Linked DNA regions of Macaca fascicularis. The protein of the gene in region 1 interacts with the protein of each later gene in a biochemical or structural test. Links are inferred from orthologs where the notes say so. Each region holds a gene or a part of one and is shown in the gene's direction. Other genes may lie near its edges.

Region 1 (4,030 bases):
TTACAAACAAGGACGGTAAGATCCCTTGGTAAGTGAGGGGGAGTTGAGGCTAAAATCGCGGCCCCGGTCTCCCCAGTCCACGGCGGTCCTGCGCTGAAGTGCACTTACACGTCCCAGGATGAGACTCCGCTGTAAATCTCGACCCGAACACCTAGGAGGCAGGCCTGTGCCGCGCTCCTCACAGCAGGGAGTCACAGGACTTGCTGTCTGGTACAGCAAGAGAGGGTCTTGGTATTGGAGAAAGCCGTAAGAGTATAGTGGGGGAAAATAGGTGGCCAAACAGAATTGGGTCCACTGGGTAAAATACATGACTTCTGGCAGGCTGAGGGCTTAGCAACTCCAAGGTAAAAGTCAAGGGCGCTGTTGTGAGAGAAGCGGAAAATGACTACCAAGGGATTCCAGTACCTCGGCCCCTTTTGGGAGATTTACGGGGCTAGACGACCCCGGTTTTTTTTATTTGTTTTTCGTTTTCGGTGAAACGTAGTCTCGCTCTGTCACCCAGGCTGGAGTGCAGTGGCGCGATCTCGGTCACTGCAACATACGCCACCAGGGTTCAAGCGATTCTCCTGCCTCAGCCTCCAGAGTAGCTGGGATTACAGGCGCGCATCACCACACCCGGCTAATTTTTGTATTTTTAGTAGAGACGGGGTTTCACCATGTTGGTCAGGCTGATCTGGAACTCCTGACCTGAAGTGATCCGCTCTCCTCAGCCTCCCAAAGTGCTGGGATTATAGGCATGAGTCACCGAGCCCGGAGACCTCTCTAAGACTCTCGAGATGTCGACAATCCCAGTGGATGGATACCAACTTTCAAAGGAAAAGTTCAAAAGGCCTATATGACCATTAGCTGGGAGGGGCCAAGGAAAATGGGAGTCCCTTATAGTGGAGGTAAAACGCCGGCTAAAGCTCGGTGGGCGGAACAGCAGCTTCTGGGGGAGACAAGCGGCAAAGAGGCTCCACACGACCGACTACGGACGGCCAACGCTGATAGCCGTTGGGGCCGTTGGGCGCCGGGAGCTGGCGCCCCGCCCTCTCTCCTTTCCCCCACCCTCTGCACCTCCCACCACCCTCGTAGTCCCCTGCGCGTGCGCGTGCAGACACCAGTTGCCAAACATTGCATCATCCCCGCCCCCCTTTCCTCCCCTCCCCCCGCTACACTCCCCTCCGCGCGCGCGCATGACTCACCCACCGCCTCCGTGAAGCCTCGTGACCCAAAGCCACTTCCGGGTCCGACACTACGTCGACCCCCTAGCGAGAGGGAGCGACGGGGGCGGTTCTGCGGAGCTCCTGAGTGGCGGATACGAGGGACGAGGCGGGGCCAATGCCGGCGTGCCACTTTCTGATTGGTAGGTTTTGGGGTCCCGCCCCTGAGAGGAGGGCAAGGCCATGGTAAAAGATTACAGCTAGGCGCTCCCGAGGTCAGAGGCTTAAGTCTAAGGCACTGAGCGTATCATGTTGAAGATGAGCGGGTGGCAGCGACAGAGCCAAAATCAGAGCTGGAACCTGAGGAGAGAGGCGAGTACTGACTCCCATCTGCCCTTTGCCCTCCCGTCTCCTCAGAGTTGGGGCATCCGCTCTTTAGGATTGGCCTCACGCCTCCACAGTGAAGTCAGGGACCGTCCGAGAGAGGAATGGGGAGAGTCCCTTATTCTGGGGTGGTGCTTACAAACCCCCATTGCTTCGGACGACAGCGTCTCTCCACCCCTGCCCGGAGCCGGAGCATGGGCCCTGCTCTGTGCTGCTGGGCAAAGGGACCTCGGCTGCCCTAGGGAAATTCATTCTCTCCCGTAGCCAACTTCAGGCCACCTCGTTAGGCCTGTCCGCGGGGAGGCAGCAGGACACACCCCCGCTCTAAGACTGAGTTACCATCGCTCAAACCGTTTCCGCCCGTTCGCCACCATCGGCCTTCTCCCTACCCTACCCCCAATCCTGTCTCAGTCTCAGCGTCTCTGGTGTCAGCATGGCCACCTCGGTAGCTGGGGCTACTGGACCCTGCAGGGCTGAAAGGGGAACCTTGACACAAGCCTTTGGGAGGGGTGCCGATGGACAGGGAGCGGTGTGTTTTCCCTTTGCCGTAGAGGTCTCTGGGCCTCCCGCACAAGAGAGCAGCCTGGATCTCTTAAGTGTAGGAGGCCATTTGGGGTCTCCCCAGGGTATCGTCCTTCCCTCGGGATTAGTCCCTGCCTCTTTAACCCGGTCCTGTCTCCCAGCTAATCTCTGTGTAACCATTGCATCAGGCCAGCCCCGTTTGGCTCTGCAGCCTTCTGACCTGAGGCTCCACTGCTGATGAAAGCCAAGTCCCACGCACTGGAAGGCAAGGGAGGGTTCCCCAGGGAAGACAGCCCTGCAGAGAAATATTTCGGGCAATATTGCATCTCCAGTCCCTAGGGATCGGCAGCTGCCACTCTGCGTCTGCCCCTTCCCTATAAGAGAGATTGGGGAGAATTCATTCATTCTTAACAAATACTTAATGAGGACCTACTGTGTGCCAAACAGTTTGGGGCTCAGGGAACATCCGTGAGCAAGAGGAAAAAATCATCTCAGTGGGAGGCCTACAGTAAACAAAATATAAGTGCCATGGAGAAAGCTAAAGCAGAGAAAGGAATGGAGAATGTTCAGGATGGAGGTTACTGTGTTACATCAGGTGGTCAGGAATTACCTTAGGTAATTCCTCCTCTCAAAACCCTCCAATGACTTCCCTGACATGACATAGGAAGTCACTGGAGAGTTTTGAGCAGAGGAATGACCTGTTTTAAAAGGTTCACTCAGGCTGCTGTATGGTGAATAGACTTACGGAGGGGTGGCAAGAGAAGAAATGGGAAGACCTTCTGCAATCAGGAAGTTTCTGCAGTAATTGAGAGATGGTGGTGAATTGATCTAGATTGGAAAGAATGGAATTAGAGGTGTTTAAATTCTTCTAAGCAAAGTTTTAAAAACTCATTTTTAAAGAATGAGTTAAGGGCCGGGCATGGTGGCTCATGCCTGTAATCCCAGCACTTTAGGAGACCAGAGGAGTGGATCACACGAAGTCAGGAGTTCAAGACCAGCCTGGCCAACGTGAAACCCCATCTTTACTAAAAATACAAAAATCAGCCAGGCATGGTAGTGCATGCCTGTAATCCCAGCTACTCAGGAGGCTGAGGCAGGAGAATCGCTTGAACCCAGGAGGCAAAGGTTGCAGAGCGGAGATTGTGCCACTGCCCTCTAGCCTGGGCAAAAAGAGGGAGACCCGTCTCAAAAAAAAAAAAAAAAAAAGTTAAAATTTGCTAGTACTTTGGATTGCAGGGTGTGAGAGGAATGAAGGATGATACCAAGGTTTTTAGCTTAAGCAACTAGAGTTGTCATCTGAGATGGGGATGACCTTGGAAGGGGAAAATCAACAAGTTTGCACATAGTCTTAGGTACCTATTAGACATTGAAAAAGAAATGGCAAGTAGGCAGTAGACAGCAGAGTCGGAAGTTCTGGAAGAGGTCCAGACTGGAAATACACATTTGGAGGATGTCAGTGTGGGAATGGAGTTAGGAAAATGCTACAGGATGTCAGTGTGGGAATGGAGTTAGGAAAATGCTACGATTTGTTCCCTTCCCTATAGTTTAGTCTTTACCCTGGCAGGTTTAAGGCCTGCCTTGAATTTAGAGAAAGCTGAGTTGGCCAGAACTTTGCTATTATGTAACCAGGACTACAAATGTCAGCAACTAAAAATAAAGTCAGGCCCTCTTCTGCCCTTGGAAATGGCTACAGGGACCAAGTATGCATACCCCACAAGACCAGAAGTAAGGACGGACCAGTAGGAGGCTGGAGATAAAAGAAAAATAAGGGCCCAGCATGGTGGTTCACGCCTATAATCCCAGCACTTTGGGAGGCGAGTAGATCACAAGGTCAAGAGATGGAGACCATCCTGGCCAACACAGTGAAACCCCATCTCTACTAAAAACACAAAAATTAGCTGGGCACGGTGGTATGCACCTGTAGTCCCAGCTACTTGGGAGGTTGAGGCAGAAGAATCGCTTGACCCTGGAGGCAGAGGTTG
Region 2 (4,205 bases), on another chromosome or scaffold:
GGAGACCGGGGCTGTGCGGGGACATGCGTCTTCGCACCCTGGAGGTGGCCGGCGCGCTGGGGCTGAGCCCGGGCAGCGTGACCCCGGCTGTCCTACGCAGCAGGGCAGGAGGCTGGGGGGCGTGGCACACTCTGGAGCACCTTGCCTCCCCAAAGCCCGGTGTTCCAGGACGTGGAGCCGCGCCTGGGGTCCCAGCGGTGGAGGTATTCCGCCTGGGCGCTGCTGGACACTGTCCTTCCAGCCCCTGTCCTCCCCTCTCCAAGTCCGCGCTGGAAAATCACCCGCTGCGGGCTCCCGTAAGCACAGCTTCCTGGCGGGACCGAACCAGCCCCCCAGCTCAGATTTTAGTTCCCCGCAGGAAGCACACCCCGCCTTGTCATCCCGAACTGACCACCCTGCCCACATAACCACACCCCGCACTCCCTACCCCCGGGGCCCAGCTCAGAACCGGGCAGACACCCCCTTCAAATGTCTTCGCACGTAGGTGTCGCACAGTGTTTATCTGCTGGTGTCTCAGGGATTTGACAGTTTCCTTAATATTCCCACACATGGCCGAGAAAAATAAATAAATAAATGCGCTGTCTTCCTTAAAGAAAAAATAAGTAAATAAATAAAGTACCCAGTATCGTAAAGTAGGTTATCGTATTCTGTTATTTTGGATCCACTTTCTGCTTCCAAACGCAGGAACAGTGCTAGCATTGCTCGAGCCCGGGAGGAGAGGGGTGAGGGTCTGCTTCCTCGTTTTGCACTGAATTAGGGCTAGAATTGGGGATGGGGGTAGGGACGCATTCCTTCGGGAGCCGAGGCTTAAGTCCTCGGGGCCGTGTACCCGAGGCCGTTTCTCCTATTCCTGAGCCTCAGAACTGTCTTCAGTTTCCGTACAAGGGTAAAGAGGCGCTCTCTGCCCCATCCCCCCCGACCTCGGGAACAAGGGTCCGCATTGAACCAGGTGCGAATGTTCTCTAGCATTCTGCGCCGTTCCCGCCTCCCCTCCCCCGGCCGCGGCCCCCGCCTCCCCCCGCGCTGCACCCTCGTTGTTGGCTGCAGCCCGCGAGCAGTTCCCGTCAATCCCTCCCCCTTACACAGGATGTCCATATTAGGACATCTGCGTCAGCAGGTTTCCACGGCCTTTCCCTGTAGCCCTGGGGGGAGCCATCCCCGAAGCCCCTCATCTTGGGGGTCCCACGAGACCCCTGAGACAGGAACTGCGAAATGCTCACGAGATTAGGACACGCGCCAAGGCACAGGCAGGGAGCTGCGAGCGCTGGGGAGGCAGCCACGCGGCGGCAGAGGCGCTCAGGCCCGCGCGCCACCCCTCTGGCGCCACCGTGGTTGAGCCCGTGACGTTTACACTCATTCATAAAACGCTTGTTATAAAAGCAGTGGCTGCGGCGCCTCGTACTCCAACCGCATCTGCAGCGAGCAGCCGAGAAGCCGAGACTGAGCCGGCGGCCGCGGCGCAGCGAACGAGCAGTGACCGCGCTCTTACCTAGCTCTGCTCCACAGCGCCCACCTGTCTCCGCCCCTCGGCCCCACGCCCGGCTTTGCCTAACAGCCACGATGATGTTCTCGGGCTTCAACGCAGACTACGAGGCGTCATCCTCGCGCTGCAGCAGCGCGTCCCCGGCCGGGGATAGCCTCTCCTACTACCACTCACCCGCCGATTCCTTCTCCAGCATGGGCTCGCCTGTCAACGCGCAGGTAAGGCTGGCTTCCCACCGCCGCGGGGCCGGGGGCTTGGGGTCGCTGAGGAGGAGACACCGGGCGGGACGCTCCAGGAGATGAGTAGGGGGCTCCCTTGTGCCTGGAGGGAGGCTGCAGTGGCCGGAGCGGTGCCGGCTCGGGGGCTCGGGACTTGGCTCTGAGCGCACGCAAGCTTGCCATAGTAAGAATTTGTTCCCCCTTCCGGAGGCAGGTTCGTTCTGAGCAACGTCTGGTTTGCACTCCAGGACGGATCTCTGACATTAGCTGGGGCAGACGTCTCCCAAGCACAGACTCGCTAACTAGAGCCTGGCTTCTCTGGGGAGGTGGCAGAAAGCGGCAATCCCCCCTCCCCCGGCAGCCTGGAGCAGGGAGGAGGGGTGAGGGAGGAGGGTGCAGCGGGCGGGTGTGTAAGGCAGTTTCATTGATAAAAAGCGAGTTCATTCTGGAGACTCCGGAGCGGCGCCTGCGTCAGCGCAGACGTCAGGGATATTTATAACAAACCCCCTTTCAAGCGAGTGATGCTGAAGGGATAACGGGAACGCAGCGGCAGGATGGAAGAGACAGACACTGCGCTGCGGAATGCCTGGGAGGAAAAGGGGGAGACCTTTCATCCAGGATGAGGGACATTTAAGATGAAACGTCCGTGGCAGGATCGTTTCTCTTCGCTACTGCATGCGGCACCGGCAACTCGCCCCACCTGTGTCCGGAATCTGCTCGCTCACGTCGGCTTTCCCCTTCTGTTTTGTTCTAGGACTTCTGCACGGACCTGGCCGTCTCCAGTGCCAACTTCATTCCCACGGTCACTGCCATCTCGACCAGTCCGGACCTGCAGTGGCTTGTGCAGCCGGCCCTCGTCTCCTCTGTGGCCCCATCGCAGACCAGAGCCCCTCACCCCTTCGGAGTCCCCACTCCCTCCGCTGGGGCTTACTCCAGGGCTGGCATTGTGAAGACCATGACAGGAAGCCGAGCGCAGAGCACTGGCAGGAGGGGTAAGGTGGAACAGGTGAGGAACTCTAGCCTACCCTTCCTGGGAAGGTGGGGGCTGGGTGGGAAGCGGCCCTGGAGGTGGAGGAGCACAGCAGAGAGGATTAAGCCCCTGACGGGGCTGGCTGCACATCCCTAACTGGGAACCCTGGCTCCAAGCCCATTCCATCCCAACTCAGACTCTGAGTCTCACCCTAAGAAGTACTCTCATAGTTTCTTCCCTAAGTTTCCTACCGCATGCTTTTAGACTGGGCTCTTCTTTGTTCTCTTGCTGAGGATCTTATTTTAAATGCAAGTCACACCTAGTCTGCAACTGCAGGTTAGAAATGGTTTCACAGTGGGATGCCAGGAAGTAGGGAAGCTGCAGGAGCCAGTTCTACTGGGGTGGGTGAATGGAGGTGATGGCAGACACTTTTACTGAATGTCGGTCTTTTTTTTTTTGTGATTATCCTAGTTATCTCCAGAAGAAGAAGAGAAAAGGAGAATCCGAAGGGAAAGGAATAAGATGGCTGCAGCCAAATGCCGCAACCGGAGGAGGGAGCTGACTGATACACTCCAAGCGGTAGGTAGACTCTGCGGGTTGCTCCTTTTTAAAACTTAAGGGGAAAGTTGGAGATTGAGCATAAGGGCCCTTGAGTAAGACTGTTTCTTATGCTTTCCTTTCTCCCTCTGTATACAGGAGACAGACCAACTAGAAGATGAGAAGTCTGCTTTGCAGACCGAGATTGCCAACCTGCTGAAGGAGAAGGAAAAACTAGAATTCATCCTGGCAGCTCACCGACCTGCCTGCAAGATCCCTGATGACCTGGGCTTTCCAGAAGAGATGTCTGTGGCTTCCCTTGATCTGACTGGGGGCCTGCCAGAGGCTGCCACCCCAGAGTCTGAGGAGGCCTTCACCCTGCCTCTCCTCAATGACCCAGAGCCCAAGCCCTCAGTGGAGCCTGTCAAGAGCATCAGCAGCATGGAGCTGAAGGCTGAGCCCTTTGATGACTTCCTGTTCCCAGCATCATCCAGGCCCAGCGGCTCTGAGACAGCCCGCTCTGTACCAGACATGGACCTATCTGGGTCCTTCTATGCAGCAGACTGGGAGCCCCTGCACAGTGGCTCCCTGGGGATGGGGCCCATGGCCACAGAGCTGGAGCCCCTGTGCACTCCGGTGGTCACCTGTACTCCCAGCTGCACTGCTTACACGTCTTCCTTCGTCTTCACCTACCCCGAGGCTGACTCCTTCCCCAGCTGCGCAGCTGCCCACCGCAAGGGCAGCAGCAGCAATGAGCCCTCCTCTGACTCGCTCAGCTCACCCACGCTGCTGGCCCTGTGAGCGGGCAGGGAAGGGAGGCAGCCGGCACCCACAAGTGCCACTGCCCGAGCTGGTGCATTACAGAGAGGAGAAACACGTCTTCCCTAGAGGGTTCCTGTAGACCTAGGGAGGACCTTATCTGTGCGTGAAACACACCAGGCTGTGGGCCTCAAGGACTTGAAAGCATCCATGTGTGGACTCAAGTCCTTACCTCTTC
Region 3 (4,020 bases), on another chromosome or scaffold:
GTGTGGTAGGCTACACTACCTAGGTTTGTGTAAGTACACTCTATGATGTTGGCACAACAATGAAATCACCTAACGATACATTTCTGAGAACATATTCTTGTTGTTAAGTGATGAATGACTGTATATGACATTCTGGAAAAGGCAAAACTATGGAAACTAAAAAGATCAGTGGTTACCAGGGGTTGAGGAGTGGGGATGATGAACAGGTGGAGCACAGAGGGTTTTTGGGGCAGTGAAACTATTCTGTAGGATACAATAATGGTAGATTCTTGTGTTTAAAAATCTGCCCTAACCCATAGAATGTACAACACCAAGAGTGAACCCCAGCGTAAACTATGGATTTCATGTATGAATAATTTGTTAATTAGGTTAATTGATTGTGACAAACGTACCAGCTGGTGGGGGATATTGATAAAGGAAGTGGCTATACAAGTGTGGGAAGAGGAAGTCTGTGGGAAATTGAGTACTTTCCGCTTAATTTTGCTGTCAATCTAAAACTGTTCTACACAATAAAGTTGATGTTTAAGAAAGCCAAGTGAGGTGCTAACACCTTTCTGTAGAGTTCATTCCACTGTAGCGTTACACAGATTTGGGCTGGAATCTGAGCCAAGCCCTGTAACCTGGGGGAAGTTACTTACCCCTCTAATCTTAGTTTCTCTAACTTTACAGAGATTGTAATGCCTTCCTCAGAGTGTTTTGAGAGCTAAATGCAAAACTGTATGTAAAGAATCTAATCCAGCACCTGGATATATAGCATGGTAAATATATACAGGCCTCCTCATTCCTCCCTATGACTGTGATTCTTATCTATTCTGATGGCTACTATTTTCAAAGTCAGGCCAGGGCAAGAAAGCTGTTTTGGGTGAAAGTGTCTTCTACTAGAAAATAATCTGTGCATGAGGGGCCTGTGTGTCCTCATTTGCTCATGTGTGTCCCCAGAGGTGCTGGCTACAGAAGGCCAGACATGCACTGGAGCCCCGGATCAGTGTCAAGCCCCTCACTCAGCTTTCTCCCGTGAAAAGGTCAGGATGATGGAAGGCTGTCATATTTAGATGATGGCTCGCAGGGAAGCCTTGGTGGGTTAGTCACCTATGATATGACATCATATTGCCACTCAATATAGTAACAGCTGTTGGTTGCTTTGGGGGGCAGAGGTGGGGTTAGCTTTAGTTGACCAACCATGCCTTGAGGATAAATTGGATGGGATCAGATGGGAAGATGTGACAAGAAGAGAAATCCTCCTCTATATAGGATGCTCTGCCATTTCCTAAGGATTTTCAGCACCTCGCCCCAAAATGTGAGTCTTGACTTTTTCTCTGGCTTTGGGGCTAAGTGGGAAAAATGTTACAGGAGAAAGGTGTTTGGTCAGGAAGCCTCCAGCTGGGGGAGTACCCATTGTGGCCCTGCTGGGTGGGTGACACCCGGAAGAGGGGTGGGAAAGTGAGCAGTTCGGTGCATATGGCACTCAGTGAAGTGATCTGAGGGATAGGGATCAAAAAGTCCAGGAGTTAGAGTGCTGCAGAAGCTCTAGGTTGGATTAAGGTTTTTACTGACCCCTCTTCAGGTTACATAACACCTGCGGGATGACCTGTGGCATCCCAGTGAGGCAGTGATGTGGTCTCGGTCTCATCCTGGATGAAACCGTGATTTGGGGATACCATTAGTCAGTGCTGTAGTCGATGTAAGGCATTGATTATTCATAATAGGAAGCAATTGGAGTTGGTTAACACCTTCCTTCTAGTGTGTTCTCCTTCTTGACTTTCCTACCTCTTCTGGGGCCCTTGTGTTTTGGGAATAGAATGCTTTGTATCAGCAGTGTAACATGGATAGGTTAACTGGATATAGGCTGGGTATGGGGAGAGCTGGTTCTTCCTGTGCTTAAACGGAATAAGTCCAGAGTGAGGGAGTAAAGATGTTAGAGAGGAAAAGCCCTGGAATGAGGGTCAAGAGATCTTGTTTGGCAGCTAGTTCTGCCAAGTAAAAGCTGTGTGACCTTGGGCAAGTCACTGTTTCTCTTTGGATTTTGGTTATTCCTCTCATCTGTAAAAACGTGTGCACTTGGGGTTCTTCCAGCCCCACTGGTCCTCTTCCATCCTTTAAATGTGGATCTGTGGTTCTGTTGTTGGCAGCCCAGAAAGGGCACAAGTTTGAGTATCTGGCTCTGCCATTTGTTGTGCGACCGTGGACAAAGACACCCCTTCTCTGAAACTCAATTTTCCCATTTATAAAATATGGATTTTTGTGAGACATCAGTGAGGTAAGGAAGCTGAGAGCCTTTTCGGAGGCACGATGTGGATGTAAAGCAACACCCTGAGTTTGGACAGGGCAGGTGGAGTAAGGCAGGCTGAGGGGTGATGTTTGGGGTTACTGGCAGGTTGAACTGTGACCAGGGGCATAGATGGGGTGGAGGTCATGGTCAGCCAGGCCATAGAAACCCCTAGCCCTGTCCTACTCAGTTCTTGTTCCTTCCCCAGCAGCCGAGGGAGGGAAAATAGTTGAGAGGTTATAAATGACGCTGAAAACAGCTCACAGAAGTGGCTGCAAACTGTCTGAGGGGGTCATGCCGCCGGAGCAAAGCGTGTGCTGGGAAGCCATCCAGGGTTTGGGGACCCCTGAAAACTGAGCAACCTCCTGGTTCCTATTGGTGCCCAAGAGGATGCACCGTCTGCACTGCCTGGCATCACTTCCTGGGAAAGTGAAAACTCCTCGTATGGCGACTAATGGATCACGACTGAACAGTGACCAGAGTGACTTGTCTTGAACCGTCTCTGAGGGAAAGTCACAGATTCCCTAGAGAAAATTTCCAAATTCCTGTTTATTCTTCACATAAACAGATTAACCTAGGGGTAGCGATTTTACTTAACTCTTCCTTTCATGTTGCAGGGAAAGTGAAATTGGCCACTTCTTTGAAGCTGTTCTTTGAGCCATAAATATAATTTCTCTTCCCACCCACAGAAAGGGGTTTTCTTTTTCTTTCTTTCCTTCTTTTCTCTTTCTTTCTTTCTTTTTTTTTTTTTTTTGAAGCCCCAGGCTCTGATACGTTCGGAGGTTGGCAGGAGGTGCAGCTGCCGTAGGAGCAGCATGTTGTCCCCCTGCTGACTCATCTGACATTAACATAATTATGTTTCAGGAGTCAAAGTGATTTTCAAACTATGAGTAATGCAGGGTGTTAGAGAGAGTGTTTACACGGCAGTGGGCATTTCAGCACACTCAAGTAACCAGCTGCTGCTAACAGCTGCAATGAGTGAAGGAATAAGAAAATGCTCTCAGGAAAAACAACCCTTCTGTCTCGTGTCTGTTTCTGTGCAAAGGATTCAGATGTCATGAAAGGCAGGTGAACTTAGAGTTCCCTAAGAACCAATTCAGATCTAGCATTGTTATCTGAATGCCTTGATGTCTGATCTTTTTATGGGGAAAAAAATGTCTTTATAGCTTATTTTCCATTTACCCAACTCTAGGGAAAGGTGGATTTAAAGACTTTAGCAAATTATTTATTTTTTATGATGTTACCAGTATTAATAATTATAATAATATTCTAAGGCTGTGCTGCTGCTTCTAAAACAGGAACAAGGACAAAACCCATTTCCCCCAGTTTTAAAGACAGGGGCAGAAGCCCATGGAGAGGGGGACTGGGGAATGTCTTCTTAAAGCTCCTTTGTCTCATTATTATGGGAAAAGTTCTGAGAGACATGGAGTGCAGTGTGCCAAGTATTTAGACCTCAGGAGCGAAAAGCTGGGCTCCAGTCCTGTTCCAGAACTGAATATTGGAATGGGAATGCCTCAATTTCCTCATCTCATAGTGAGAATATTAATAACACTTTCTCTGCCTACATCAGAAAAAGAGCCTTGAACTTTTGTAGGGTAGGGACAGGGTCTGCCCACTACTGTAGCCCCAGTGTCTAACTTAGAGCTGTCACATAGAAGGTGCTCAGTAAGTATTTGCAGAATTAACGAATGAGATAAAAGCTATAAATGCCAGAGCTCTGCTCTTGTGGTTTGCTATTGCATCTAGCAAGGTGT

The links.
Region 2: the proteins of DDIT3 (region 1) and FOS form a complex in vitro, tested with the Homo sapiens proteins (2 studies listed by BioGRID and IntAct, with this or other methods). The link is inferred for Macaca fascicularis from reciprocal best matches to the Homo sapiens genes DDIT3 and FOS.
Region 3: the proteins of DDIT3 (region 1) and ATF3 form a complex in vitro, tested with the Homo sapiens proteins (2 studies listed by BioGRID and IntAct, with this or other methods). The link is inferred for Macaca fascicularis from reciprocal best matches to the Homo sapiens genes DDIT3 and ATF3.

What each region holds. Positions count from the first base shown.
Region 1 is NC_088385.1:64,327,937-64,331,966, reverse strand, and holds the start of DDIT3 (DNA damage-inducible transcript 3 protein), read left to right. Parts: upstream 1-1,230; 5' UTR 1,231-1,345; intron 1,346-1,416; exon of another isoform or gene 1,417-1,451; coding exon of another isoform or gene 1,452-1,514; intron 1,515-4,030. Other genes in the region: DDIT3 upstream open reading frame protein, read left to right, coding at 1,452-1,514. UniProt on the Homo sapiens protein: Multifunctional transcription factor in endoplasmic reticulum (ER) stress response. Plays an essential role in the response to a wide variety of cell stresses and induces cell cycle arrest and apoptosis in response to ER stress.
Region 2 is NC_088381.1:143,230,318-143,234,522, forward strand, and holds the start of FOS (protein c-Fos), read left to right. Parts: upstream 1-1,405; 5' UTR 1,406-1,560; coding exon 1,561-1,701; intron 1,702-2,455; coding exon 2,456-2,707; intron 2,708-3,142; coding exon 3,143-3,250; intron 3,251-3,367; coding exon 3,368-4,009; 3' UTR 4,010-4,205. UniProt on the Homo sapiens protein: Nuclear phosphoprotein which forms a tight but non-covalently linked complex with the JUN/AP-1 transcription factor. In the heterodimer, FOS and JUN/AP-1 basic regions each seems to interact with symmetrical DNA half sites.
Region 3 is NC_088375.1:70,370,055-70,374,074, forward strand, and holds the start of ATF3 (cyclic AMP-dependent transcription factor ATF-3), read left to right. Parts: upstream 1-1,220; 5' UTR 1,221-1,297; intron 1,298-4,020.